Struthio camelus: one gene and its partners. The protein of the gene in region 2 purifies or fractionates together with the protein of the main gene of each other region. This does not show direct contact. Links are inferred from orthologs where the notes say so. Each region holds a gene or a part of one and is shown on either strand. Other genes may lie near its edges.

The links.
Region 1: the proteins of TNRC6B (region 2) and AGO4 purify together in Homo sapiens (co-immunoprecipitation; 3 studies listed by BioGRID and IntAct, with this or other methods). This does not show direct contact. The link is inferred for Struthio camelus from reciprocal best matches to the Homo sapiens genes TNRC6B and AGO4.
Region 3: the proteins of TNRC6B (region 2) and AGO3 purify together in Homo sapiens (affinity purification with mass spectrometry; 6 studies listed by BioGRID and IntAct, with this or other methods). This does not show direct contact. The link is inferred for Struthio camelus from reciprocal best matches to the Homo sapiens genes TNRC6B and AGO3.

Annotation. Positions count from the first base shown.
Region 1 is NC_090964.1:10,023,374-10,033,472, forward strand, and holds the start of AGO4 (protein argonaute-4), read left to right. Parts: upstream 1-6,204; 5' UTR 6,205-6,323; coding exon 6,324-6,420; intron 6,421-8,995; coding exon 8,996-9,161; intron 9,162-9,881; coding exon 9,882-10,002; intron 10,003-10,099. Other genes in the region: CLSPN (claspin), read right to left, coding at 383-837, 1,402-1,531, 2,447-2,467.
Region 2 is NC_090942.1:57,496,006-57,505,894, forward strand, and holds the start of TNRC6B (trinucleotide repeat-containing gene 6B protein), read right to left. Parts: upstream 4,727-9,889; 5' UTR 4,494-4,726; intron 1-4,493.
Region 3 is NC_090964.1:10,063,719-10,073,620, reverse strand, and holds the start of AGO3 (protein argonaute-3), read right to left. Parts: upstream 4,378-9,902; 5' UTR 4,325-4,377; coding exon 4,288-4,324; exon of another isoform or gene 563-4,287; intron 1-562. Other genes in the region: AGO1 (protein argonaute-1), read right to left, coding at 4,659-4,767, 5,390-5,589, 6,493-6,594, 7,560-7,694, 8,186-8,380.

The DNA of each region.
Region 1 (10,099 bases), on a different chromosome or scaffold from region 2:
CTATTGCTGACAAGCAGGATAAGGGAAAAATCTGAAGCATAACACATCACTTTCAAGATTACAGAATTACCAAACTAAAATAGACTCCTATCAACACTCCTCTCCTCAACCCCTTCTTTCTCAAGAGGACACCCATTATCATCATCCCTGCCTGACTTCACATGCACTGATGTTAAATCATTGAGTGCTAGGATTTGTACTTTCTCTGTAAATAAAACTGCTATCTCTATATAGCAGAACTATAGACCTCTGTGGACACAATGCCTGCTGTAGTAATGTGGACACAAGTGATGCTGAAACATTGAAACACAGTAAGCAAGCGCAGAAATAGAATTTAACTTAGTTGGGAAACCATTTGGGATTTTCTGCCAAAAATATATACCTCTGCTCTAGGTTTCTTTTCTTTTTTCAGTTGCTTAATGGATTCAGTCCTTCTTTCTTTCTCCTTTTTTCTCCTTGGTTTTCCTATAGATTTTTTGGCTGTCTCTTCTTCAAAATCATGTTTATGTTTTCTGTATTTTTTCCCAGATTTTAGGGGTCTCTCCTCTCCCAACTCATTCTCAGGAAAGTCCGACTTTTTGCTCGTTTCAAAGTTTTCAACTTGCAATCGGTCACCAGTGTCACTGTCCTCACTATCCAGCAGACCTTGGCGAACTCGATGAGATTTTTTGTTCTTCTGGGCAGTAATGTTCTCCTTTTCCTCTCCATTTTCCATGACTCCACCCAGAGTATCATTCTTTTTAGAAGAGCCACTATCTTCTTCATGTTCACTTTCACTATCCCGAAGCAACCTTTTGCTTTTTGTTTTTTTACTTAGAAAAATCTCTTCCTCTGAATCTGACAAAATATATTAAAAAAGGGATGCATGTTATAGAGAGGTGAACTCCATTAATAAGCAATCACTTAAATACAGCCTACATATAAGCCTACTAAATTTCACAGATTTCAACAATTATAGCAAAATAACTTGAATTCAAAATCCACTTGTTTCCTATCATGCAATACATAATTGACCCAAACTGATGCTATAGGTTTTTAGACTTAAAAAAGCTAAAGACCATTCACAAATAATTAGTAACAGCCCCTAAAATAAAAATAAAAATACAGTAACTAAATAAGTGCATATCATGTTGCCCTTGGTAGATTAAGCAAATCAAAAAAAGAAAGAAAATAAGCAATTAAGATATTCACATCCCATTTATCTTTTTGAACCTCAAGAACTGGTTTTCTGATGTTTTCAGATATCTGTCTGCCCGCATTCTTAGCGGCCAAAAGGGCAGTTTGGATTCATACAGGTGCAACAAAAACACGCAACTTTCAGAAGGTCAAAGATCATGTAGTCTCAACTTTCACTATTGAAGACAATCACCTCCAGGCACGATTTACAGAAATATTACAGACCTCTGTCATCAAGAGATGCTCTCTCCTTGTTGAGGTGACCTGGAGAGCCTGTTTCACAGCTGCCCTGTCCACTGTCAGAATCACTATCAGTGGTTTTCTGCAAGTCTGATTTCAAATCTTCTAAGTGAAACTACAAAGCAAAGTAAAATCATCCTTAATATGGTAAGTGTTGTTTATGTAGTAATGACTCATGCAGTTTAACTTAGTCCAAGACCTTGGCTAACTCTTTACATAGGAATATATGCACACATATTATTAAGAATTAATTCACCTTTACACGGAGGGGAATTATGCAACATCAACCTTTATTGGCTTTTAAATATGTTTAATGTGAGCTTGCACAAGGAAAAAAAAGAACATACTGGAAGATCTCTACTGACATTACTCAAAATTACTAGAATGAAGTAATTGATGAGAAACTTTGAAATTTCATCTCCGAAAGCGGCATTTTACACAGTGCAGGGGGAGGGACCAGACGCTTGTGGGTGCTCTCTAGAAAGCAGCCCTGAGACGAGGCGCGGGGGCCGCGCACGGCGACGCAGGCCGGAGGGAGAAGGGTGCTGGCCCCGCACACGCGGGCCCCGCGACGCTTCGCTCAGGGCCGGCCCCGCTCCGTGCCGGCCCCGGCCGCCCGGGGCCCGCAGCCGCCGGGGCCGGCCCTCACCGGCCGCCCCCGGTGACGGCGGTGCCGCCTAGGCCGCAGCGCCTCTCCCAGCACGCACCGCGCCCGGAACGGGCACCAGCCTTCCCAGCATGCACCGCACCCGCCCCCCGACAGGGCAACCAACTTCCCAGCATGCACCGCCCGCGCTAAGTGGAATGAGCCTCCGCAGGGCACGCTGGGAAGCGTAGTCCGTCCGAGGTACGGGGGAGGCGAGTCCGGCGAAGGCGCGAAGCCGCCGGCGCGCTCCGGTAATCGAGAGGACACTGCCGCCTCACTCGCTGCCCGTCCCCGCCGGCCTCCCCGCCGCGACCAGAGGAGCACCAAGCCCACGGGAAGGCAGCGGGCCGCCGCTGGCCGGCCGCACAGAGCAGCGGAACTCACCTCACCAGGAGCCGCCGCCATAGCTCAGCCCGAGCGCCCACCCCGGCACCCGCGGCCCGGCGCCACACAAACCCTCCGGCCGCCCAGCCGGGTAGGAAACCGCTTCGAGTCTTCGCGCGCTGCCCAAGGCCCGCCCCGCCTCTGGGGCCAACCAATCGGCACTTAGAGCTGCCCTGACAGCCCCGCCCCCTGCGAGCTTTATTGGACGATTTCCCGCGAAGTCCCGCCTCCCCTCGCCTCGCCCAATCGTGGCTCTCCCTTCAAGGCTTTGCACGCCCTATAAGCCCGCCATTGGGCAGCCCCCTCCCCCTGCTGTCAGAACCTTGGAGTGACTCGTTGGCCGCGGGGTGGTTGGAGGGGTGCGCTGCCAGCCGCTCTGGCCGCCGTGGCGGTGCGAGGTGCCCTGACGGTGGCGGCGGGCCGGGCCGTGGGCCCGGAGCGAGAGGGCCTTGCCGGGCCGCGGGGGTGGCGTGGCGAGCCCGCTGCGGGGGCAGAGCCGCGTCGGCGTGGGCCTGCCCCCGCGCGTCCGGCGGCGGTTAGGAGTGGGGGTGTACCGGCCTTCCCGCTGCCGGGCGGGTGAGTACGGATAAGCGCTCGCACCGGAGCGCCGGAGCATCCCGCGAAGTGCAAACAGGAACCTGCTGTCCGCCCATGAAGGCAAACCCGGGAGGGGAAGGGGGAAAAAAGTATATACTCTGAAGTAGTTGTTATCCATCGCAGTGCTGCGGGGGATGCTGAACAGATGGGCTAATCTGCTATGATAGTTCCCATCTAGCCCACACATCCTAGAATGGAGAAGTGAGAAAAGCAAACGCCCCTGAGGCTTACTGCAGGCGTCACAACGCAATGCTGGTTTCTGTGGCGGTATTTAGTAACGGGAGAGGCAGCTGCTGGCACTGCAAAAACATCATTAATGAATATGGTTAAGATACCGTCTCTCAGGTAACCTGCCTAAGTAGATGTAAAAGTAGATGTAAAAGATGTAAAAGAGAAAGGAAATAAAATGAATGTAGATGTTTTCAGCATAAGGGTGGGAGAACTTTCAGAAATAAGGTCCTGACCACTTTGGCTGTCAGGATGCCGCAACTTATACTTATTTATCAGGTTAATTGCTTTTCTGCTTTTTTTTTTTAAGCTTTTCATGCGTTAAATACAGGCTTCTTTTGTCATATTCAGCATCTTACAGGACCAAGCCTTTGTACTGCAGATTCCATGAGGCAGAGATTGTGTATTTGTTTTTTAAGTACTGTTTAAATAGCACTATGCACACATATGTATGCTGAATAATAGCATAGAAATGTTGCTGGCCAGCATGGGTTTTTTTTTTTTTTACAAGTCTTGTAACGCTGGTGTTTCCCTCAAATATTCAGCTAGTGTCAGGCAGTTATGAGACCTGCAGATTTGATTTTCTTTTAAAAGGTTTTTGATGCTTCTACTTGTAGAGAAGGTCTTGAAAAAATAAATGTTGCAGGTTTAAAAAAAAGCAAATAAAATGGACACAGCATTTATTATTTACAGAATGTTTTGACTTCTGACCTACTTGTGAGTCAGCTGAGAATTGTTGACTTAACAGAACTCAATGGTAGCAAGAGAAAAGTGGGATGTGCAAGGAAGCCGTTCACTAAAATAGCAAAGCTTCTTAAAAGGCAAAGCATCAGTAACCCCTGGGCTGAAAAAGCAGAGACAAACTGTGTTAAACTGCAGGTAACAAAATCAAAACTACTGGGTTGCACTGCATGTCTAGGAGCATCTCAGCAAGCAGAGCGCTGGCAGGACCCTTGATTTTAGGTTCCTGCACGCTGTGTCCTCCGCGACCTAAACATCTGAAATCCAGCGTCCGTCAGCCCCTTTCTCTCCCAAGGCGTATCCTCAGCCTTATGAGATCCCTCCTGCGGCTATGCAAGACAGAGGGTCTAGCGGTTGCTTCTGCAGCAAGGGCTCTACTTTAAGGGCCTCTCCCTGGCTGTTAATTAAAACTAATAATAAAATAAAGCCTACCAAAGTTATTGTCTGTGAGCCCACCCCGTTGCCAGTGCTGGTTGAAACCAGCCCGTGGGATCTTCCCTGATGGAAGGGGGAAGAGAGGTTGACCAAAACAAGCCCAAAAATGGGTGTACGGTGTGAGTCCTGAAAGGTGCACCAAGAGTTTAATAACCAAACTAGCTGGCTTAATAACCAAACCAGCTAATTCCCTACCACAGTACTTTTTCAGAAGGTGCCTGAGTGACATCCCATGGTTATTATTGATCTCTGCGTCAGCTGTTAGCTGCTGGGTAGACACCGATCATTAGCCCTGGCAAACAAGCCTATCGCACTTACTACACATTTTTCGCCCACAAAATTTGTTAGTGGAAGTGTTGGCCCTGCTTACAGCCCTGAAGGGCATTAAAATTTGCAGCCGTTCACGGTGACTTTTACACGTTATTTTTTTCAGGTATTTTAACCAGAATTACTGCTGTTTCGCTGGTGTAGGAAGTTATACCGGGTGTAATTAAGTTAGGCGAGTTCCCCGTTTCGGGGGTGGGGGACGGGAAGAGCGGAGGAAGTCGTTACCGCGGGCTGTGGGGTTTAGGCGCTGTATTTTGCAATGGAAGATAAACGCAGAGTTTGAGAGACGCAGTGTCACTATTTCCAAGCTTCGGGTGGTCGGAGGGCTAATTCTTCAACCTGTGAAATTCTGGAAGGAGAGGAGAGAGAGAGGGAAAAAAGGAAGTTCTCTAATAAAAGGACCTGAGTAAATACACCCGTGCAGTCAGTAAAGGAGCTTTACTGCGCAGAGATGCCAAAAAGGGGAGGGGGGGGCTGAGTTCCACCTCCGAGGGCAGAGTGCGGGGGAAAACCTGCTGATTTCTGACAAAATGCCCCCAAATACACGGGGTGGGGGCCGGGGGCGGCGCTGCTGTCATGGCGGGGGCGGCCCCGTCAGGGCGGCGCTGTCATGGCGGGGGCGGCCCCGTCAGGGCGGCGCTGCGAGGGCGCCGCCCCCCCCGCGCGCGGGAAGCGGCCGCCGGCGCCGCCCCTCACCTGTTGCCGCGCCGGCGTCGAAGGGGTGCGGGCGTGCGCGCCCCCGGCGCCAGGGGGCGGAGCGCGTGCGCGCGCGTGCCCGCGGCGCCGGCCAGCGTGGAGGCGCCTCTTCGTCCTCCTTCTCCTCCGGCGGCTCCTGCTCGCTCGCGTGCGCGCGCGCGCGCGCGGGGAAGGGGGGGGTGGCGCGCGGCGGCGGCGGCGGCGCGCGCGGGCTCGGCGGCAGCGCAGCGCAGCGGGGGGATTGTTTGCGCCGCCGCTCGGCCGAGCGCAGCGCGGTAGACCGCTCCCCGCCGCCGCCGCGTCCCGTTCCGCCACCCCCCCCCCTCACCCCGCAGCCAATATTCCCGAGATCAAGCGTTACGCGGCGGCGGCGGGGCCGGCGGCGGGGCCCGGGGCGGTCGTCGGGGCCGGCGGGGACCGCAGCGAGGCCGCCGCCGCCATGGAAGCGCTGGGACCCGGTGAGAGCCGCGGGCGGGCCGGGCCGGGCCGGGCCGAGGGCGGGCGCGGCCTGGCGGGGCGCGGGCGCCGCCGGCCCTGTCAGGCGCGAAGGGCGGCGGGGCCGGGCCGGGCGCAGCGCGGAGGAGGCCGCGGCCCGGCGGGAGCTGCCGCAGCCGGCGCGGCCTGGGCGCGGAGCGGGGCCGCGCTGCAGGCCGGCTCTGACCCGCCGCTCGGCCCGGCCCGGCCCGGCTCCCCCCGCCGGAGAGGAACTTGGCCGCGAAACTTGGCGGGCGGGTCGCAAACAGCAGAAGTTTGGTGTTGGGGCTGCCGGGCGCCTTCCCCTCGCCAGGGCAGATAGGGCATTGCCGTAAGCGCAGCTGCGGGGCTCTAGGCGTGGAAGTGACTTGGAATCGCGATGGCACGGAGGTGTGACAGCACGCGTGGGCTTCCGACCCTGCCCGCCAGCGCGCTTGCGGCAGGTCTTTTCCTAGTGACGAGTTGTAGTGTTTGGCGTGAGTCTGTTTTGTTTTTAAGGGCTTACGGTTGATACTTTCTGGAAGGGTGAGCGCTGATTTTTCAAACAGTCTGCCGTTCAATATTGGCCTTATTACGCATGTGGCGTTTTCCTAATTCTATCTTATTCTGTGGCTCTTCTTCCATAAAATGTCTGCGAGATGTATTTCTTGACCAAAGCGGTCCAGTGTATGTTATCTACCATATCTGTGATCAAACCCTTGGTGTAATCGAAGTAGTGTTAATTTCGGTGCAATAGGAAAGTTTACTGACATGAAGATGCAATTCCAGACAAACGTCAGAAGAAGATTTTAAGGTAGTTAGTGGGGGGATTGCTTTCAGCGTCTAGCATACTGATGTATGGTGTGGTAGGTACTCTCTGACTTCTAAAGTAGGAGTAGATCCTCTTTTAGTTTTGTAAAACTACTTCCTGTCTGAAGCAACTTGGTTGAGGGTAAGCTGTACATGATCAACACATGGTAGAAGAAATCAAGAGTAACAGCTTATTTAACCCTGCCTGGGCTGATTAGGCCAGAATCATGATAAAATCGGTGTGACTTGCAGGGAAGCCTGGCTTCAAATGAGAAAGCAGCTTTTAGCTTATTCTGTTTAAAGTTACTTCTTAAAAGATTTCAGGGAAGATGATGTAACTTTGATCTCCTTTTGTCAAAACTGGCCTAGGTCAGTGTTGCCACGGCTGTTTACAAAACTTGTCAATACTGAAGAAGGAAAATGGGTAAATATAGTTGTCATTTAATCTCTTGCAGGAGGTCAGTGCCTGCACTACTTCAGACTAATTAGCACGGGATTAATGGATCATCTCTCTAGTATCCAAATAAGCACAGCAAACTTTGATTGCCCTTGATGATTCATGCTTGTTGGGATAGCTGTAGTTTTTTTGTTTTAAGTGCTAACTGTACCTCACAGCCTGTTTAACTCTGGCATTAGGAACTTCTCATTGACTGACTGCAATTGTTCATATGGATGCAGAGCCGATGGTGTGTCGAGTTAGAGGTCTGCGGTGAGAGCCACGGTGCTTACTGCAGCTTCAGAGAACTGATGCATCCAGTGGGCTGCATCTGCTTACATACTCTTAAAAGTATTCTAGCGTTTGTCTCCTCAAATCTTACTTTTAATTGATAATGCTAGTAGCCATTAGATGGCCTGCAGAACCAACACAGAAAAAGCTCTAAAGCTCCCTGGATTTGCAGTCTTGGGTTTAGTTTAGGATTATTTTAAGTTTCTTGCTGCACGTTGAAGTTTATCCAAACATGAGCCTCTCTCCTCTTTTCTCCTCTGGAGCTATGAGCCTCTGATTTAAATGGATACTGCCAGGTTGACACAACCTCATGATACTAAGTTGGGCCCTAAGTTTTAATGTTGCTTTAATATTGCATTCTTACATTCCATTATTTTTTTCTTCCTCCTCTTTGCTACTCCAGCAAGTGTCACTGGCAAGAAGAAACTGTCTGTAGAATGGAGGGAAGAAACTTTTGTTATACCAAGTGCTGGCACATACAGACAAAAAAAATGAAAATATACTAATTCAAATTGCTTTATGTGCAGTGTCAAATGAGGCTGTAATAGATTTTTTTTCCTAAAAGTCTGTTTAATCTTGTCAACATGGTATCTCAGTCTAACACTTTGAAGAAATTAACTAAAGATTAGAGTGACTAGCTTGCATCTGAGTACTTTCTTAAGCCTCTAATAATTTCTTCCATATAAATAAGCGCAGCTTCTTCTGAAGCTGTTACTTTTGTCCAAATATATTACCTTCTCCTCCACATCTATTAAGAGACTATACCTGTCCTTATGCTTGTTCCTTACTGTTCTTTTTAGAAGAATGCCTAAACTTTTTCTCATTCTTTGTGTTAGAACTTGAAATTTGCCAAAATTGTGTTCCAGTTGAAAAGTATTTCACTGTTAACAGCAGTGATGTGTTCATGATATAAAGGATATGACAAAATTGTTTTTGTCTATATGGAAATATGTTTTTAATTTAGTTTAGAATAAATATATCCTTTCCTCCATTTCCAGATTGCATCAATTTTCAGAGAAAATTGGGAGTTTATTTCCTGAATGTAGCAAGGGTGACTTGCTACATCATTAACTTTTGAACTTTAAATCTATAATGAAAAAGTGTGGCTGTTCTTACCATAAATGGTAATAGGAATCTATATATAAATATTTATATTCCTACTGCCATACGAGATATATATATATATAGAAAGAGAGAGAGAGATAGGAAAATAGACTATGTAAATAACTGTATTCCATCTTGGGAGTTCTGTCAAGTTCCTAAACTACAGTCATAAACAAACATCACTACAATTTTGAGAACGAAATGTAGCATTAACGTATATATGCTTTAGGGAATACATTGTTGTTTTGTACCTGGAAGAGTAGAGCTGTTGAAAAGCCATAAGCTGCTTGGAACACTTTCATTTGCAACCTTGGAAAACTATGTAAGATTTTTCTGCCCTGTCAGAAAGCCTTCCCAACTATAGTACACCTGAAAGGATACTGCAGTGAATGATAAGGTATATCTCATACATATTTATTTGGCTTTCATAGGGCCTCCGGCAAGCCTTTTCCAGCCACCCCGTCGCCCTGGCCTGGGAACTGTTGGGAAACCCATCCGCCTCTTAGCCAATCATTTTCAGGTTCAGATCCCTAAGATTGATGTTTATCACTATGATGTAGATATCAAACCAGAAAAGCGCCCCCGAAGAGTGAACAGGTATGAATCATTTAATACAAAAAGTTTAGATTCCTCAGTTTAAGGCAACTGTACACCCTAGAAATTTTTCATCTGCTAAAGAACAGTGTATATATGTTCTGTGCTTAGGAGTTGCCTTATCTTTCCAAGAGGTATATTATCCTCCTCCTTATTTTTATTAAGATTTTTGCAATTGGATTGCCATATAGAAGGCACTCAGAAATGTATTATAAAGAAGAATCTTGCCTTAAACTAAAGCTATTTTTATTCTCTAGTCTACAAGTGAATATCCCTGCAATCCATTACACAAAGATGTCTGTTAGCAGCTGAGGGGAGGAATTCGGCTTAGAGATTGACACCAACGTTTTTAGGTGTCCATACATGGTTATTTTGTCAGTGTAGTCAATTTAATCTGTAGAACACCCCAGCTAACCCGAAGATAGATGCTTGTATTTGCTCCTATATTTGTACAGCTCTCCGCGTTCCACTGTCTGTATTCACTACATCTCTGCTGACGGTAATGGGAGCTTAGACACCTGCATATGTGTTGAAACGTAGGCGTCCTAATCTGGAGGGCGCTCTTATTCTTGGTGTCTGCTAAAAACTTGGGTATAGTCTAGTGCCTTGTTGTTTCAGATACTCAGCTCCTTTAAGAAAACATGAATGCGGAATTTTAAATTGGTGTAAGATCATTACTGAATTTTGCTAGGCTCCAACCTAACTGAATACCTCCCTCTGTAGAGAAGTGGTGGATACTATGGTGCGACACTTCAAAATGCAGATATTTGGTGATCGGCAGCCTGGATACGATGGGAAAAGGAACATGTATACCGCGCACCCGTTACCTATTGGCCGGGATAGAGTAAGTGTTATGAGCAGTACTAAGTTTTTTATTGAAAAAATGTTAGTGCAGTTTGAAAAGTGATCATAAAGCTAAGATGCTGTTACATGTATTAGTG
Region 2 (9,889 bases):
TCTTCTCCCTGACAGGGTCAAAATATATTGATTACTAATTTATACGTTACATTTTGACCAGTCTCTCCTATATCGTGCCTCAATAATACTGTCTTATGGTACCCCCCCCATTTCTCCTGTCAAACAGTGTATTTGTCCACAGTCCCAAAAGCTAAACTGGTTAATATCTACTTTCAGTTTTCATTTTACCCTTTTAAATAGATACTTAAAAAAAAAAAAATAAATCAAAACAATGAAAGTTTCAGATGAAGCACCAATTTTTTTTCCACATTTTTCATGGAGGAACCATTATGTTTTCTCTAATCCACACACATTTAATCGGGAAATAACGCAAGATATCTGATTTCAGAACTACTAAAGCTGACGAGGCCCAGAAATGCAATCTGTACTGGCTAGCTGAAACTGGAAAAGGTCATCTCCATAGCTCGCTACATGGTAAACATAGAGCACATCCAAACGCCAACCACAACCCTTACGCTGATGAAAACTTAAAAACCTCAGAACATTCCCCTACAACATGCAAACCATAGTAAGTGCAAAAAGATGCTTCCCTTCTTACCGCCATAAAAAGGCAAAGGGAAAATTTATTTAATATACTCATTGCCTACTGCTCCACAGGAAAAAAAAATACATGAAATGTTTGCAGCAAAGCATATTTACTTCCCTGAAGCACAAATAACGAGAAATGCTTTCACTGTTTTTGTGCAGTGCAAAGGAGATAGGAACAGTAAAGCGGAGAAATGTAGAGAAGTATGATAGAGCGCTTTTCTATATGCTGAAGACTACACAGAACAGAAATCAGAATATCCTGATTACTACTACACTAGTCAACTTGCAAGCAGAAATACCAACTGGCAATTCCTTGTCTGACAGTGACAGCTGGTCAAGTACCAAAAGTGCCCCTACTTCTATTAGCAGACGGTAGCAAAAAGTTTAGTTTGGATTCACAACAAATTAATAACGATGCCTCAGTCCCTATTCCACATGCTATGTGCTGAAAGAGCAAACCTTAGCATATGTATTTTATCTGAAAAGAGAGAAAGGCAATAAACATTAAGCTAAGGAAGACTATCTGCAAGAATCCAAAAATCTTAATTCTATTGTAACCTCATTTTTTGTTAGTTAAACCATTAGAAATGTATGTTCTTAGTGGATAATTCCACATATCTGTGGTAAGTCCTTCCTATTATAACTGATGACTGGCATCTTACTATTTTTTCCACAAGATAATACAACACTTCACAAGTGTTATTTCCAAAAGCACAATAAAAATCATTAAAGGCAATTCCAAAGATAATTCAGGCACACACATTATAAGCAGTGAGGTGACAGAAAACTTCCATGTTAAAAAAAACCCTGACATACATTTGGTGGTATCAGATCCATCCCTTAACTATGCATTAAATATGGTTAATTTATCAGATGAAGACAAACAACACCAATTCTTCACAATGACAGATATACTGATCCAGAAATTACTGGTAGAAAAAGGTTAAGTGGGAAAATAAAATAAAATAAAAAAGAACTGTGAATGCACTGCGGAATTTGTGAACATAATAGCACTAGAGAGCAATTACTGAGAAAAGTCACGGCAAAGAAGGCAGAGAATGACACTTAATCATTATTACTATTATTGCACAAACCAGATAGTATCTATATATAAAAAGATATTGTTGGGGGAAGAAATGATAATAGCAATAAGTGACTAGGACAAAAACCTTTGCGTTCGGCAGAAAACGCAGAATAAAGTAACTGAACTATTACGCAGACTATTAATAAATTCATTCAAGTCAGTAACTAAGCTTTTTTTTTTTTTTTTTTTTTTTTTAGAATTTGAAGAGGACTTGTGTTTTAGGCTTATTTTATGATCTCCAGCTGATACAGCTTAATTGTTAAAACTCTTCTGTGAGCAGAAACACTAATTTTGCTGGGGGAAGGAAAAAAAAAAAATCAAACCCTAAAATAACAAAAACTGTTTAAAGATATTTTCAAATGACTTATTGTATGGCAGATCTCTAATTCATCCCATCATTTTGGATGCAACTATCTGTATACATGATGCATACTATGCATCTGCACAACAAATTATTTCCATTTTTCTATTTCCTATGAAAGGAAGAAAATCAAAGGTAAAATATAGCGTCTCAGAACTACGCATCATTTCCTCCTGAAGCTCTCTACTCTTCAAGTTGTTCTCCAACATCAGTAAGCTACATACTATTTCAAGTTTTAATGATCAAATACACCTCACCAAGCAAAGTTGTGACACACGTTCTACCTCAATGAGTTCATGAGAATGCACAATCGCACAAACTCAGGTAGACAATACTTTTGATTCACGCCTTCAAGACTTTTTCTCAAAATATTTGATGTAGCAAAACCTCATTTATAAGTGAAAACTTAGATTTCTAGACAAATTTACAGCTATATAAAAACTGCAGTAACACACCAAGACATATGACTACTTAATCAGGATACATAGACTGTTTTATAACTAATGTTGCAGTTGTTCTTTCTACTTTATGGGACTGAAGTTGTTCCCTTTACTAAACATCTCAATAACAACATTACCAAGAAACTGAAACTGTTGAATTGAAAGTTCACAAAAAAAAAAAGTATGCACAGTAGAATTTTACCAATTAGCAGAGAAAATTGGGAGCTAATTTTATACATGTTTACATAGTTTTACAGAAAATTGTATGTTCACAAATAGAACTTTTACGTACAACATATCTGGGCAAGGTGAAAGAGCATAACGCTAACCTCTCCTAGCTTCTATGAAATAAGATCTTGCTGCCCGCAGAACTTTACAGCAGGAAAGCTAACACGCTTGCTACCTCAAGAGGGTTCCACTCCTCCTTCCCCAGCCTCAACTTTTTGCAGAGCTACTTCTTTACTGCAGGACTGACTAGTTTTACCTGCAATTGAGTTACCAAACACAAGTGAAAAGCCACCCATTTTAAACAAATCTCCAAGGCAAATCTACACCGCAGTCACTACGCTAACTACAGATCACGTAGAAAAACTTGACCCTCTTTTTTAAATTAGGATCTCAGGTAATACAGCAGATCAGAGCATTTACTCAATTCTCAACAGCAGGCACTTTCCCAAGAAATCTTGTCTCATCACAGCCACTCCGGTAAGAGAAGACAGAATTGTTGAGCAATTGCACTGTAGACATACTAACTGCAAAGCTGGTTGAATCTGTGTACCTATTTAATAATTCTGTGAACTAAAGCTGTTGCCCAACACCACTTACACCAAAAACTAAAAAATTCAATTTACCTGAATAGCAATTTTGCTAGAGACTAATAAGCAAACCAGATCTTTCAAATATGGAGCTATACAAACCACAAAGTTCTACCTACTACTTTTCAGTAAAATTAAGATTCACGGTTTTTGTAGGGGACAAAAATCTGGGTCATTGAAACTTAATAAGTCATGGCTAAAAATAATAACTATGGACATATTAGTTAATTCTAAAGGTACTCTGCAAGCTCTATGCAGATAGACAAATGGATGTCCTTAGTGTCAGTAAAAAACCTTCAATATTAAACTAAGAAAAATGAAGTATCTTGTACTTAACCATGCTTATTTTAGGTAAAAAAAAACATTTTGTTGAAACCTGTTAGTATTTAAAAAAAAAAGTCCTATTTAAGATTCTGCTACATGGAGCATTGTAAAGAAAATTTGGGTGTGCAAGATGCCATGCTAGAACCAGTGTTATCCAATGCTGCTGAAGCGTCTCCTGAAACAAATATTCGCTTATTTTCCTACAAACGGCTCAGGAAACTTTTTTTTTTTTTTTTTGCGTGCCTGGGACACACCTCTAAGCACGGTCACTCCTCCCACCCACATACACACATTTTAACTAGCATCGTGTTCGACACATCCAGTGTGGTTTGTAGTGGTATCGACATAACCTCAGGATTGTCCCCACACGACACAAAAATCACTTTTTTCCTCCAACCACAGAAAGGCTCCTCGGCGTCCTTCCGCCGTTTTACGTTTTGCTCGCTCTGGGCGGGAGGCTCTTGCCCGGAGGGAGGCGGGCTCGGCAGCGGGAGGCCACCGGGCCACCGGGAGCGCAGCGCTGCGCGCCGCGGCGCCAGGCAGCGGCCTCGGGGCCGCCCGCGCGTCCCGCCGAGGAAACCGGAGGGGGCGGAGGGGCGCGCAGCCGCGGCGGCGAGGGCGGCGCGAGCCCGGCTCTGCCCCGGGACAGGCGCGCGGCGGCGGGGGAGCAGCGCCCTTGAGCCGCCGCCGAGCCACCCCCCTCCCCCCCCCCCAGCGGCACCGCAGCTCGGCGCGGGGGGAGGGGGCGCGCGGGCCGCGCCAACGGCCCCTCTCAGGCAGCGCGAGGGTCCGCGCGGCGCCAGGGGCGGGAAGGGCCCTGAGGTAACGCTGAGGGAGGCCCGGAGCCAGCTCGCCCACCCGCCTGTTCCTCCGGGGCGCGGGGAGGGGGAGAGGGAGGAGGGAGCTTGTCCCGCACTCACCGCTGAGGAGGCGCCGCCGCGGTGCGCTGAGCCCCCTTTTTCTCAGTGCCGGAGGCGGCTCCTCCCGCCCGCCCGCCGGGGAAACGCGAACCCAGAAAACAAACGCGAACAAGATGCGATAACTGGCCCTCCCCCTTTCTTCCCCCCCCCCCAAAAAAAAAAAAAAACTTTCCTCGCCGCCGTCTCCCTCCCCCGAGGAGCACGAACCCAAACACACCGAGACACTCCCCCGCACCGCCCCTCGAGCCGCCTATTGGACGGCGCCGCGCCGACCCCCGCGCTGATTGGGCTCATCGCCTGCTCGTCTTCTCTCTCCTCTCCCCTTTCCGCCCTTGCACGCTGCCCATTGGGAAGAACCCCTGCCATCTCTCCGCCCATTAGCCACGGAACTTGTCTATCAAAGGGGGACCCCGCCTCTCAGCTCCTCTGACTGGGCTGCTTCGTCACTGCCCCCGCACTCATTGGTTACATTTGCTGACTGTCATATCTTGGCATTGCCCCTTCGCAACCCTCACTGGCTCCTACCCCTTCTTCCTTCCTGCCAGTTGGCTGTAAGATTTGCCCCTAAAATGGGGCACCCACTTGGCCGCCCCTACTTGCCCCGCCCTCCCACAGCGCGGATTGGGTGGCAGCTTGTACCCTCGCACACCATTGGTGACTTTTATGTGCCTGTCACACCATAGCGAGCGTGCACTCCCGCCCACCGAGCTGCGGCGCTTGGCGGCCTTTTCGCAGCCGTCCGCGGGCCCTCCTCCTCCGCTGAGGCGGAAGGAGAGCCTACGTCAGTTGTCCTTAACTGTGTCTACTTCATCTGCCAGCCTCAAGGGCCGGACACAGTGACGGGCGCACACGGTAACGAACATGGCCCCGGCTGTCGCCACCCGGAGACGCGAGGCACCCCGGGGAATGGAAACAACGCCACACTCTGCACCGTCCGCAACGACTTCTACGCCTCTGCCCCTGCCCCTCCCCTTAGGGGAACGCCCGCCTGGGAACGGCCAACTCTATTGGGCAGAGAAGACGTCACTCGAGGGGCTCGCAAGGCCATTGGCGGCAGGCGGGCGTCTCCGCAGCCAACTGGCAGCGGCCCCTGGTGTCACCCGCCAAATAAAGCAGCAACGGGGCGGGTGTCGCCGCCGTCGTTCTTTGATTGGGTGATTTTACTGTCAATCTCGTTCCTAGGGCACGGGGCGGGGCGGGGAGGGGAGGGGAGGGGAGGGGAAGGCGGTGCCTGGCCGCCTGAGGTGCCGCAGGCGGTTGTTGGGTTTGCGCTGCGTGTCCTGCCCCACGTGGCCCGGGCAGGGGCGCACGTGACAAGGCGCCGCGGGGGCCCGCGAGGCTCCGCAGCGCCCGTTGGCGGCGGCGGCGGCGGGGGGGAGGGAGAGGCCAAGCGCGGGATGTCAGTCACAGCGTGACATGGCGGCACCTCGGTCCCCCCCCCTCCCCCGCCCCCTCCGGGTCCCTTGTCTGTGTGTCTGGGCACATCTGCACATACACATACAAGAACATAGCGTGGTGGACCCGCTGTGGGTGCTTTTATGGTCCATATCTTTACTGCGGGGGTTCTTGTTTCCCCTGGGTTTGCCTCGAGCTGTCGAGGCCTGTTTTAGGCGGCCTCGAAGGGGTCAATAATCTGCGTTCGCCTTATTACCCAACTATCATGTGTTTTAAAATTAAGGATGGAATCTGCACTTTGTTAGGGCTGATAGGAGTCTGGCCATTAACTCCCGTAAAGCAGTGTTTTGCCCTTCAAGCTTTGACAACCGGCTGTGGTTTCCTTTGGAGCAAAGCCTGAGGCTTTTAGGCCATGAGGCCACTCCAAACAGCTCGGTCCTGAGTATCTACAGTTGTTTTGTTCTGCAGGTTGTACAGACTAAAAATTTTAATAGTTTTCAGATAGAAGCTGTGAATAGCAATCCTGAAAACCTGTGCAAAGTGGTTTTATGGTGGCTACGGTATCATTTGTAAATTTAAGTATCAAAAATAAATGCTGGCCTTTGGTATCCAGTGAGTGGGCTGAGGCAGAAGTAGGGCTGCGGAGACGGGGCAGTGAGGGGCCACGGCAGGTGCTGGCCTGGGGACCAGTACAAGGCAAGGGTGAGGTGCAACGCAGCCGCAGCCCGGGGCTGGGGGAAGCACGGAGAGCGGGCATGGAGCAGTGCCGCTTGATCTGGGAAACGGAAGGAAAAACATGGCCATGCGTGAGCAGGACCCACAAGGGACAAAGAAGGGCTTAGCGCTGGCAGAGCAAAAGGGCGTAGGCAAAGGAGCCTGTAACTCTCTGAACGGATATGAGGAGAGTGCTGAGAGGAATACATGGAACTGTGTGGACGGTGTGTAAGCTAGAGAAGAGCGAGCGAGAGGGCATCTTTGCTTGTGCCAAACGTGTGTGCCGAATGACTCATTCTCGTTCTCCTTATTCTAACTCTCCAGTGTTTCTGAAGGCTGCTGTTACCTTAATGATGGTCACATCCTGACCTCACCCAGGGCTGCATGCCAGTGCAATGTTTTTGTTTGCTCTTCTCCGGAGAATTCTGTTACAGCCTGATCAACAGAATTCTGGGGCAGCTGAAAATAGCATTTTGGTGCTGAACAGAGAAATATAGAGCAGGGATGTCCCTGTCACGCTGCTGGGTAGGCCTTTGGGTGTTCAGTGGAAACACAGCCTGCCTTGGAAGAGCTGTAGAGCCTTTCATGAGTTAGTCATCACGAGGAGGAATAGCCGTGAGCACAGCAAAAAACAACATGTACTGCTGTCATGGAAAAAGCACGCTGGAAATGGGAGATGATGTGACAGTGCAAAGACAGAGTCGTTTCAGCTCCATTTTTTTTGTCTCCCCCCCTCCCAATAAAGCCCCCCCCCAATATTTTTTGTATATGTATTTCAGCTATAGAATGACCGAAAGGACCCGTTAGAGGAACAAGCAGACAAAATCCATGTGAACCTAGACTATATAACTCAGTAAACACTCTTTAGTCTTTTGAAGGCTTCCCCATTCAGGAATGGTAGTTGGATTTTTTTCATTGATCAGTGATGGAAAAAGTCCCTTAAGATGGAGCAGACTTCATACTGGCTATATATACTTGCTACTGTAGTGCTTTACAGCATGCAAAAGGCACCATATAAATCAACATGAAATAGTTGTATAAATTAGGGGTGTATAGGTGTCTCCTTTATTCCTCAGTATTTATTCACTGAGCAGGAAGCGACCGTCTTCTCTTCCCATGTCTATTTTTCTTACTTCTAAGCAGAAATCTTCTTTCTTTTCTTCTTTCTAAGCAGAAATCACTAGCATACAGTGAGTATAGGTTGCACACACTGGAAGAGAAGGATTTGCCCAAGATACTGACCTTGTCTTTGCCATAAGTAAAAATAAGAATAAAAACAAATCACTGCTTAAATTCCTGTTCCCCTCATTGCTATACTTTTGCCACTTTTTCCTTCATGTGCTTTGCTCAGGGTTTTTGCAGCTGTGCTTACGGCAGTACATGGAAAGCAGGGTGAAGCTATGAAGATTTATTTTGCATAGGCCTAGGAAGCCAGCAACTTTCATTCAGTGCAGCAAAAGATAGCACACTCTTTTGTGCCTATAGTTTCACTCTACAGAACAAATGTGAACTGCAGAAAGCGAGCGGATTGTATTGATTTGTCTAAAAATAATAATGGAAGGCTCAGAAGTTCTCATCCAGGTTCACCAGTGGATTGGAGGGGATTGCAGCTTCCGGGCTAGATTCTGGATCTCATAAAGTCCAGACACTTAAGAACAAAATAGTTCTTGCTATTTTGTCACACTTTGCCTGTCACCATTGCTGTCCAGAAAATGGGATAAAGTTGGCTAGTGAAAATGCATGTTTTTATCCACTGGATGTCAGTGTTAGGCTGTTGCTGTGGTGCATTTGCAGGTTCTGAGAAAGGCTGAACTTCTTGGGGTGAGCACTTTTGAAAAATCTTTGCTCTGTGGTGGGTAAATGATGTGAAAGACCATTGAAACCGCAGGGGAAAGGGATCACTGCAGTACGTAGACACACTCCTTTTGGTTTCTGCTTAAGTAGGCTGGGACTCTGCCTGCTAATGTCTTAACATGCCAAACCCCCACAGTGACTGCAGCCTGAGGGAGATCAAGAGAGGGACCCTGTCATACTGCGGTCAATCTCGTAGCCTTTTGACTATTTTGACCACCTCCTTACGCTGTGAAAATGCACGGCCTCTCCCTTTTAAAAATCTCTCTAAAAAGTACATATATTTTTGATACCAGAGAGACAAATAATATTGCATGTGACAGAGGTACAGTTCAGGAGCAGGCTGCATGAAGGGACTTTTCTAAACAAACAGGGAGCGCTGCCAGCTTGGGACAATCCTAAACGCAGGAATGAGAAGAGTCAAAACACTAGGAGCAGCCTTGATATGTGGGAGTTGAAAATCAGTTTTCTTAGAGCTGACATTTGGTTTTATGTCTATTTCCAGCAGAGTCATAACCTCTTTTATGGACTTACTAGATTTTTAAAATTATTGTACCCGAATGAGCTCTGGATAGTCAGTCACGTAAAAGCTACTAATATTGAAAAAACCTGTGCTAAGGCTGTATTTTTTTGTGCTTCAGATATTTTAAGCAGCAGCTATCCAGAGGGCACCAAAATGATCTATTTAGGTGTCTGCATGACTAGTAGAGATGGGTTACCTTTTGGAAAGCCGCAGTAAAGTATATGCTGATGCTTTTTGTTGTATGTTATGTTTAAGTAGTTTGGTAAGAAACATGGTGTTTAACAAATGATACAATGCTGTACTTTACCCACCTCTGAAATGCAGCCAGCACTGGAAAGGAAGATGGCAGTTGTTGAAAAGATGATTTGTAAAAAAGTAATAAAATAATTTATGTTCTCTTGTCATATATAAAGACAGCCTGATTAGGTTATTCTCTTGCTTACTTCTTTCCCTGGGAAGCTGCATTTTTATCTATCCTTCTTTTCTTAGAAGACTTTAGTGAAGATTCAGCAAGCATATGACATCAAAATACTAAAGAGAGAAAATATGAGAACCTGGAAACATTTGGATACTGTTTAAAATAGTGATTATCCTTATTTAAAAGTATTTATCCCAATAATTACTTCCAGAAAAGAGAGTTGCAGCATTTCCTATACCTTCAATTAAGTGGTGAAAAGATTTCCCAGCCATTCTTCCGCATCCTTCACATAGCTTTTCAGGGAACAAGCAAGCAAAAAAGGAATCAAGACTTCATATGCCTGGGAGCTGTAAGAACAGGGATAGGAAAAAGGGATTTGTATTTAAAATAAAGAAAAGCAGATTTCAAACCAATTATTTTTTCCTTTCTAGGTCACCTATAACAGTAGAGAATAAACATAAAAGTAATTTATGGAAAAAAAGAAGTAATGAATAC
Region 3 (9,902 bases), on a different chromosome or scaffold from region 2:
AAATAAGTGAACTCAGGTGTGCAGACATATCTAAACACACGCAACTTTACAGATACCAGGGAACCATCTGCACAGGGAACAAAGATATGGGTAAAATGTAAATAACAATTTTAAATTTGATTTTGAATTTGATTCATGCCAGATCCAGAGAACATTTTCGCCTATGTATTACCTGTCTCAAAACCACTGAAGTCCATGACACTAAGGCGCCAAAGCCAAGTAGCTGGAGAGGCAGCGTACTTTGACATACACTTATGACAGCTAATAACCAGGAGTTCAACTGAAGTCAGTTCTCAGATAGATGATATTAAAATAAAAAAATGGAACTGGCTATCACGTTCCAAAAAGTTTTAAGTGCATGCTTGTTCACTGAAGTTTTTCTCTCATTAAATTGAAATGGGCTGGAAACAGAGGAGTTTGGATCCTCACAGTATTTGATGCAATTCAGCTACAGTCAGCATTTCACTATTTGTTCTCAAGCCCTTCTTGAGTAAACTGCCAGAACTGGGAATGTATGCTTTTTCTTCCCCATGGAATCTGACTCAGGAGTGTCACCCCAACATATTCACATTGCTTTTATTTAGGTCTTCTGCCAACAGTTACAGGGTAACAGACACTTCGGACTGCAAAGTCAAAGTTGCAAGCAAAAATCAGGACCAAGGCAAAGAAAAAAATAATCCACAAAGCCAATCAAATCAAATATAAATACAATGTTCTGGAGCTCTTTAATCATACCATTTTCTTTAATAAAGAGGTGGTTATGCTCTTACAGTATTTTCTTTTGGCCTAATCCAAGGATTTTGTTACTCTTTACCAGTCTTAATTCCACGCATACAAAAAAATTGATATTCAACCTTTAAAATATAAGCCATATTTTCTTAATAAAATAAGTTTTGTGCTGCTGCTTGTTTAGTAAGTACTGTACATCAACTGTTCACGTCTATTTAACAAATGGACCATACAGAGTTCAAGCTAAAGCAAAAAAAAAAAAAAACACAAGAAAAATAACAACCCAAACAGAGTGTCTTGTAAACACTCTATGTACAGTTCAACACTTGCTTGTATAAAGGAGGTACGAAAGGGGCTAGAAATCGAACACAAAAGCACTGGAATCCCCATCAGTTTTCTTTCACAACTATTGAAGTGCAAATCACTCAGGCAAGATATGAATTTCACTTGTTTATTGCTGTCCTGCAGTCTGGCTTCCCTTCCTGAAAGAATCACATTCTTTTATTTCACGCTAATTTTCCAAGAAGAAAACCTTCCATGAGGCAACGCTGAATGCTTGGGCTTTTCGATCCTAGACATCAGGTCATACGCTTGCAAATACCAGAACACTCCGACTGCCTTCCCACTAAGCTCTCCTGAGGGCTGTTCTGCCCTCATGCACCCTGTTATGTTCAGATATGAGATAAGGGAAACAAACAGCATTCAACAATTGACAGATAAATGAAAGTTATTCCTCTTCCCACAAATCTGCATGCACTCGGCAGTTTTTCCAGTTGCACAACGGACACGTGCGCATTTAGAAGGTAGAGACTCGGGAGCCATTCAGGATGACTGTGTGGGGTTTGTGGCTAATTACAAATCGTGATATGTATACAGGTTAACACCTATCTGCTATGGGTAGCAAAACGCACAGCACCTCAACATGCAATTACTCATTTGCATCTTGGACAAGAAAAGGGTAGAAATACTGAATGCTGGAGCCGTGTGGAAGGTACAGTGCATAGTCCATTATACAAAACATGCGGGTAACTCGAACCCTTTCTAAAACCTCTTCAAAATGGAAATATGGTTTAAAGGGCACAGCAGCTGAGTTTGGCTTATTTATTTCTTTAAAACCATGAAAAACCCAATGCAGAGGGTGAAGTAAGGGCAGAACACGATCTGCAAGTCAACAGCTGAGAGTTTCAGAAGCCATGAAGCTTTTGTGTAGTTAAAATTGCTGTTAAAAGTAGGTGCTACATCAGCAAGTCTTCATTCATAGTTTTCTATGAACAGCCACCTTACAAATGAGTGCAAATCTTAAAGGTCCATTTTACATTTCAAGTCTCAAGGTTAAAAAAAAAATTGTTACAGAGCAACAAGCTGTTTCTGTAAATGCCCACGCTATCTCTTTTCAAATGGCTAAAAATGGCATGTGCTATGCCACAGCTACTAAAAGACATTTCAGAATTCTAGACCCAACTAAAACGTTAAAATAAAAAGTAGAAATCAAAATACCTTTGCCCTTAGCTGCCAAAGAGCAGCAAGGTGCTTTCGGTCATAATGCTGGTGAACAAACTGATTTGCAGAGAGAACCTTGACCATAACCCCCCAGTTTTATTCTCAGTGAGGGGCTTCCTAATACAAGGTGGGTGGGTATAGCCCCTCTGAGATCATTTCGCTTTCAATGAACACAAGCCAGAGTTCTGAGGATGAAATGGGAGAGGTGCTGAATTTGTGTCACTATGCAGGCACTTGTGTATAGGAATGTAGGCGTCTCATGTTGACACTTAGTGTTCACTCATTCCCTACTCTCTAAAAGCCCCCTTAAGAGCTCACTACCCTACTGACCATGAATGGTTCTTGGCTTTCTCCCCATCACCTTGTAGGTATACAGCAGTGGAGTTTGACACAAGGTGCAAAGGAGAACATGAGCCAAATACTGTAGTCTTGAGAAAAATACAACTGTGCTAAATGTAGGATCTTCACAAAACGTGACATCAGTGGGCTCAGCACTTAGTTTGCATAGCATATTGATGTCTTCATTTTTCACAAACGTGTTGCCCCAAAAGAAAACCAGTACACTGAATTCTTGGTATTAGGACAGAGCAATGGGTCAACATGACTAATGCTTTTATGAACTACTAGCAAGGCAAGTTTAAACATCAGAAAGGACAAAATAAAAAGGCGTGCTTTATCAATGCATGCTGACAAAGGGCAGTGCTTGTGATAGGCTTTGAAAATGCGTTCACTTTTGGCAGTAAATTGATAACAGAGCTCTTCCCCTTAAGAGCTCAGTAGCAGTGTACACGTAACTCTTTCTCTCGAAGGAAGCTTTGTGCACATTTTCATATCAACAAAAATCAGATAATCTGCCCACACGCTATTGGTAAGGAGTTGCTACTACTGCCCTGCTGTGCAGAATGGTCATTCTGTACAGCAAAATGAGTCCAAAAAACAGTCACTGTTTTACTGTTGGAAAAAAAAGGCTTTTTCCCCATTACAAACAAAAATTAGTAGGAGTTTCCCCCAGGACAATAACAAGTATTTCGTAAGTCTGACTAAGGAATAATCTGGTGTGCTTTCAGAATAAAAACCCTGTGCATGAAATCAGTGATACCATGACACAAAAGAGCAGCAAAACCTAGCAGCAGAATCTATGACAGTTTGGACATGCTGAAGTCGGGGTACGTGGTAGTTCAGAAAGCGGTCAGCCCATACGGACACGTGAGGAACGCACATGACGCATGGGAGACGAGGGCATTGAGGAATACCCCAAAGCTGCGTGGACTGCAGTTTGTAACGCACGCATCGGACAGGAAACGTTAGAGATCTCTGGCGGGAGCGCACAGCCTCAGGAAGTGCAGTGATGTAAACTCTGAGAATGTTAATGACTTGTGTATTTTGGCAACAGACTCAGTATCATATAAAAATAATGTTTAGTAAAAAAATCCCGGTGTCCATCATAGAAAGTCAGAAAAAAAATAATCGATAGCAATTTCTGTCCTCATGGGGTGAAGATGCCCCCATTTGTCAGAAACAGTTTTAAATAACAAGTAGTACATTGGAAACAAAAATGGGTCAGCAGCCATTAAACTTGTCCTATATGAAAGTGCACATCTTTCAATGGAGTTCAACCACCGTGAGGTTGTGATCTAACACAAACTGCAACTTAGGACCATAAAAATTAACTCCTTCCGATGGAAATATGGACCACCATCAAGACAAGGTTACTATTTTCCTTACAAGATTAAAAACATTGAAATTTTGCAGCATCATAGTAAGGCACTCACCCATGGAAAAGTCTGTGACTGTTGCTTCGAATGGCAGCAGCTAACTAGCTTTTAACACAAGGAAGACAGTTTTCAGTTCTGAGCTAAGTGCTAGGGTGCCTTACATTATATGGGGGGGAATTATTTGGGGGGGAACTGTTAGTGTTAGAATTCTCCTATAAACTAGTTGTTTTTCCCCTTAACCCATTAAAGCATCTCATATTCTAAAATATTAGTTTTATAAATCTAGTCTTCTGTTTTAAGGCTCTAAAAATCCCCTCCCCCCAACCCCACAAAAAATACCTACCAGCGCCTGGTGGGCAACGGAGGACCAAATCCGCCATTTCACAGTCAGGAGTCTATAGTATTGCATCTTAAAAATGAAAACCTGCTTCTGCCTCCTGGAAGTTTTATCCCTTCCTTAAATGCCTTCACGTGTTTGGTCAGGTCAAAATTTTGCAAAGCCAGAAAAATTAAAAAAATAATCAGTCTCTTCCAATCCTACAAAGGTGTTGGATCTTTCTGTCCCGTGGTGCTGGTCTCCTGCCTCAAATCGACGCTGCCTGCCCTGCAGTGATTTCTCATTGGAAAAAAAACAAGGTGTCCCAATGCTTCCTTTTTTGTATGGCTCCTACAAATCTGAAAGCTTTCTTGAGTGAGGTAACAAAAGTTAGGCTTTCAAGCAAAGTACATGGTACGTAAAGTGTCCTGATGAACCTGCACAGCCTTCGCCAAGGCTTGGGGGTCTCTGCCGTTGCTCTGTCCAGATATATGGCTGCCCTCGCCGCTGAAAGCGCAAGAAAATCACTGCGTAATTATTTAAGGCTTTCCCCGTAGGAACGTTGGGAAATCCCCGCGCAGGTCAGGGACCAGGATGCTGGATGCCATCTGCACCTCTGCCTTGCACCAAGGTCAAGGCGAGCCCCCACAGTCACCTCACGGCAGCTCCCGACCAACGGACCCAGCCCACCAGCCACCGTGGGGGATGCGAGACCCCCACGCTGTGGCGCTGGGGCCTGGCGATCGCTCACCTCTTCCTGGCTTATTGACGCCGCTGGGGAGAAGGATGGTGGCACGCGGCTGTCCCCGAGCACCAGCATGCTAGGTGCGCTGGGAACCGTGCCCAGCATGGCAGAGATGCCGGCATCCCGAGGAGGCTAGCAACGCTCAAACACCCCGAGGTGGTCACTGCAGGGCCTGGGCGAGCCCAGGACGGGGTATTAGCCCCCTTTATCCCCGCTCCTGCCGGGCTGAGCCCTACGAGGACATGGCTACGCGCGAGTCTCCCCAGGAACGGCTCTGCAGCAAAGCTGCTCCCATCCAGCCGCGTTCAGACACAGAAGCAGGGTGCCGCTCACTGGCTGGTCACCCCTGCGGTCCCTGCTCCGGGGACGCGCGTGGCCGCTCACCTGTCGTGCTCCTTGTCCACGAGGTGGTAGCGGGCCCTGAACGCCACCAGCCGAGCGTAGTAGGCCGGCGCTGGGATGGAGACCGAGCGGGTGCAGCGCACGTAGGTATGGCACAGCTGGTAGGTGAGGATCTGCAGCTCATCCGCGGTGAACCGGTTGTCATCCCAGAGGACGTAGTAGTGGGACGGCCGGCTCGTGCCCTGGGGAGGAGAGCGGGCGGTGTGGGAGGTGCTGCCCGCGCCCAAACACGAGGCGGCCGCAAGCGCTGTGCGGGAGAGGGGCCCGCAGGAGACGTCGCCCCCTCCCCGAGGTGAGGTCGGTTCACCCCATCCATCTGCCTCTCATTTCCACGCTCTATCCTGCCCTTCCCTAAGCCAAGGGCACCGCAAGACAGGAAAAAGCACTTTGCACCGAGGTGCAAACCAGCGCTAAAGCAGCTGCCCAGCCGCCCCGTTGCCAGACGCCCCGGGGAGCGAGCAGCAGCGACCTGCCGACCGGCGCAGCGCACCGCCTCCCTGCTGCACCGAGCCGGGCTCCCCCGCGGCTCCCCCTGAACCGGGCCAGCTCCGCGCTGTCCTTGCAGGCAGAGAGGAAGCCAAAAAGCCTCCCTTGCGGAAGCAGCTATAAATCAAGTGATTCAAGCCACAATTTTTTTCAGTGCAGCTTCTGACTAATCTTGGCTGCCTGAAGGAAGGCAGCTGCAAAGCAACCCGCCTGCTCCGGCCGGCTGTCCCCAACTCTCCACCCGCAGCCAGACCACGGATCCCGTCTGACGAGCAGGAGCACCGCGAGCCCAGCACGAGACGCCAGCTGACAAGCTGCTGATTTGGCCTCTCCAAAGGAGGAAATTCTCCAAGAGATCCTCGGCTCCAGGAGGGAGAGTAAGTAGGTGCCATGTACCGCAGCGGCTGTGCCATCCTGGCACCTGCTCCCCCAGGCGCTGCAACGGCCGCTCGGACAGAGCTGCCCACGTCTCCAGGGCCAGCCTTCGCCTTCCCCAAGGGAGGCGGCAGGAAGGGCCCCGTCTCACGTGCGAGAACGCAGCTCACAACCACAACAGAGGAAAAACGGCAGGATCACAACATCAGCTTGGAGCACGGTACCTGAATGCCTGCATGACTGCACAGGTAGAAGTCAAACTCAAAAGGGTGGGTGATATTTGTATCTACTGTTGTTCCCGCTGGGATGTTCCCACTCTTCCCAATCTGCAGGGAATAAAAAGAGATCCAAGCACCACAGTGTTGGGTTATTTCCAGTTTGGGAGCACCGTGCCGAGCAGTTCCACAAGCGCCTATTAAGTGGGGAGCAGAAGCACCTCTCCCTGCTCTGCCCTCTGCCCAAACAGGCTTGCTGGCATTTCCTGCCAGCATCAACACCAGGCACGACACTCAAACAGAGCAACCTACAGCTAAGGGGAAGCAGGCAGGCTGAAGGCTGGGCACCGGCCCATCCTGCTGCAGGAACGACGATTAAGTGGGCAAAAAGTCCAGGGATCTCTGCAGACAGTTTACGCTAGAGCTTCTGCCGTAAGGTATCACGGCTCTTATGCCAAGATCAAAACCTGTTCTCAGTCCCAAGGTTAAATCCTCATGATCAGGTAGAGGCAGAGTCTGGTCAGATTAGATCAAAATTAAATTTAGATCAAATCTAGGAAAAGTTATAGCAATCAATGAGTTACTCGGTGCTTTTGTTGCACAGGTAACACTCTCCTCCCAAACTCACAATTGCTCGATTCACGCCCTCAATAGCATATACACCTGCAAGGCAGAACAGCCCACCGCAAGTCCTGTTTTTTGGACTTCTGCTTGCACAGCACAAGATGTGAACAAGCTGTGAGCAAGCATGGGGTTATTCCTCCTGCCCCAATGTCAGCAGCTACAGCAATCACCAAAACAACAGATGTTTTCAAGCTGACAGAGGCCGTTTCAAGAGAGTCACCAGGATCATCTGCACCCAGTAACTCATAACAACAGCAAACAGCTGCCTGGATTTCTTGAAGCAGCCTAATCGGCACAGATGCAAGAGTCAGCTTAGCAGCGTGTTTCAGGCAGGGAAGAGGGCTCTGCCTGCCAGCAGGGCGCTTTCCACCCTGCGCAGCTCCGGGCTGGCTCTGCGTTAATGCCAGCGACGAATCGGACACCGCCGGCCCCCGGCGCTCCGCAGCGCTCACCCGCTCGTTCTTGTCCGCGCAGAAGAGGCGGGTGTGATGCCTTTTCTGGACAACGATGTAAGTGATGCCAGGCTGGTAATCCTTTTCCAGTTTGATGCAGGCGTCTCGGATTGCCAAGAGCTCATAGTGAAGGATCTAGAGACACAACCGCGCGCAGAGTGAGGCAACGCACGGGCTGGCTCCCACGCCCAGCTGCTCTCATGCACCCGTAGGGCACCCGCAGGAGCCGACGCAGGTTTAGGCAGTGGCAGGAGCAAGAGACCTAATCCTCTCCCCTGCGAGCCCTCCTGGAAAAGCTGCCTCGGCACGGTCTATACCCAAACACAAGTGGAAAAAGAGGAGAGCAAAACACCCGTTGTCCCAAGCTGCTTGGTGGCCGCAGGCTGCCCTGCACATCCCGAGTGGACTCCCAGATGCCCAGCACCCCCAGAGTTGCAAGCCTTTGGCCCAGCTCCCGCCAGCAGAATTAGCCCAATGCCTCCAGTGTGCACAAAGCCTTTCAGCAAACCCAACAACCTCAAACAGCACAAATGCCAGCAAGGCAAACCCAGGCCTTAAAGCCCCTTCCCTCTAGCCAGAGGCAGGTCGGCTCTGCCGGCCCAGCACGGCGCCCAGGGGTTCCTCACCTGCGGGAGCTGCCCCTCGGGAACGCCGTCGCGGTAGAAGATGATCCTGGTAGGTTTGAAGCGAGTGGATTTGTAGAACTGGATGAGAAGCTCCCTCACCATGTAGGACAAGTCCTCGATGATTTCCTGGCGAGGACGCTGCACGCGCACCGTGGCACAGTACCGGCTGGGGTGGGCATCCATGCTGCCCACGACCTGCAGTGACAGAGGTGAGCCAGGCCCACGAGTTACAATAAGGAGGACGGAGGGGACGTGGGACATTCCTGGCCTTCGAACACCCACAGCTGACAGCAGGCCCGAGCCGTCCCCGAGCTCCCAGACAGTGAGAGAAGAGAGCAAAGACCAAAAAGGACTTCCACGGTGGTGGCCACATCTTGGTTTCATGCTCTGCATGGTCCTCACTGGAATTTCCAGCGAGACGGCGGGCTGACACCGCCGAGCCACACAGCCGCTACGTGTGAACGGGGGTTTTGACTGCTCTGCCCCTGCTTTGCTCCTCCTGCCCAAGAGCCGGGGAGAGCGGGGCTGCCCTTTCCACTTGCTGATGCTCTTCTCCCTCTGTCCTTCTCTTGAGACCTTCTAGCTTCCATAAAGGACTACGCTATCCTGAACTTTCGTTGCCGTGATGAAACTGCAGACGACAGCCCCGGTACGAAACCCCACCTGCAGCTGCAGTGCCACCACTATAAAAGCTATTTAGATCCTTTTTAAGCTCACACCAGGGAGCTCCACCATCAGCAGGTCCTTCCCCCCGACCACGGCAACATCGCAGCTTCCCGGGCAGCTGGAGCCAGGTCTCTGCCCCAGGGCCACCCACCCAAGCGAGCGTTTGCAAAGAGCATCTGCCGGCATCGCCTCTGCCCGCCCCGGAGCTGCGGGGAAGTCCCGGGGCTGACGGGGCTGTCAGCCGTCAGCAGGGAGTTCCCACCGCAGCCTGGAAAGGAGACCTCAAAGACGTCAGGGCCAGAGGCGGAGGGCGGCCGGGCTCGGCCGTGACGCAGGGCTGGGGGCTCAGCCTGAGTCACGGGCGTCCGAGCGGCTCGGGGTCCGCGCGGGGAGACAAAGCGCCGCGAGGCCAGCGGGGGTTTCGCTGCGCGCTCCGCGTCCCGTCGGCCCGCAGAGCCCCATGCCCCCGGCAGCGACAAACCTCGCTGCCCCCGCTCGGGGCCGGTTTCGCTTTTGTTTAGCGAAGGCGGCTCTAGACGTCGGGCTGCATCGCCAGAGCTGATCCGCTCGCCAAAAACGCTTCCTCCGGCATCAGTCTCAGCAGCAGACCCCGTCCTGTTATCTTAATAACCGCCTATGCAGAGGGTCAAGGCCACTTGAAAGCTTTTCCCTCTTCCTCACCTGCAGTTTGAAAAAATCTTTCACACAAACTAGGGGGCGGGGGAAAGCCGCAGTGGTCCTGTGCAAAAAATGCACTTTGAAAATGTTTTCAGAGGGGAAGCGCCGCCGCCAGGAAACAGACTGTTCTGTCCCACCCACCCCTACGAGCGCACAGCCAAAAGCATTTCCTAACTCCTTTTAATTAAGCAAAAAACACTCCTCCAAAGATGCATCTGCATGCCAATGAAAACCTGAGCTACGACTCCTGCAAAGCTAAGAACTTCATAGGAAAACGCTGACGTGCTTAATTAAAACAGGCGCTACGAGAACCCGAGACTCGCCGCCGCCCGGCCGCGTCCGCACGCGAGCACCGGACCGTTTCGCGGGCGTT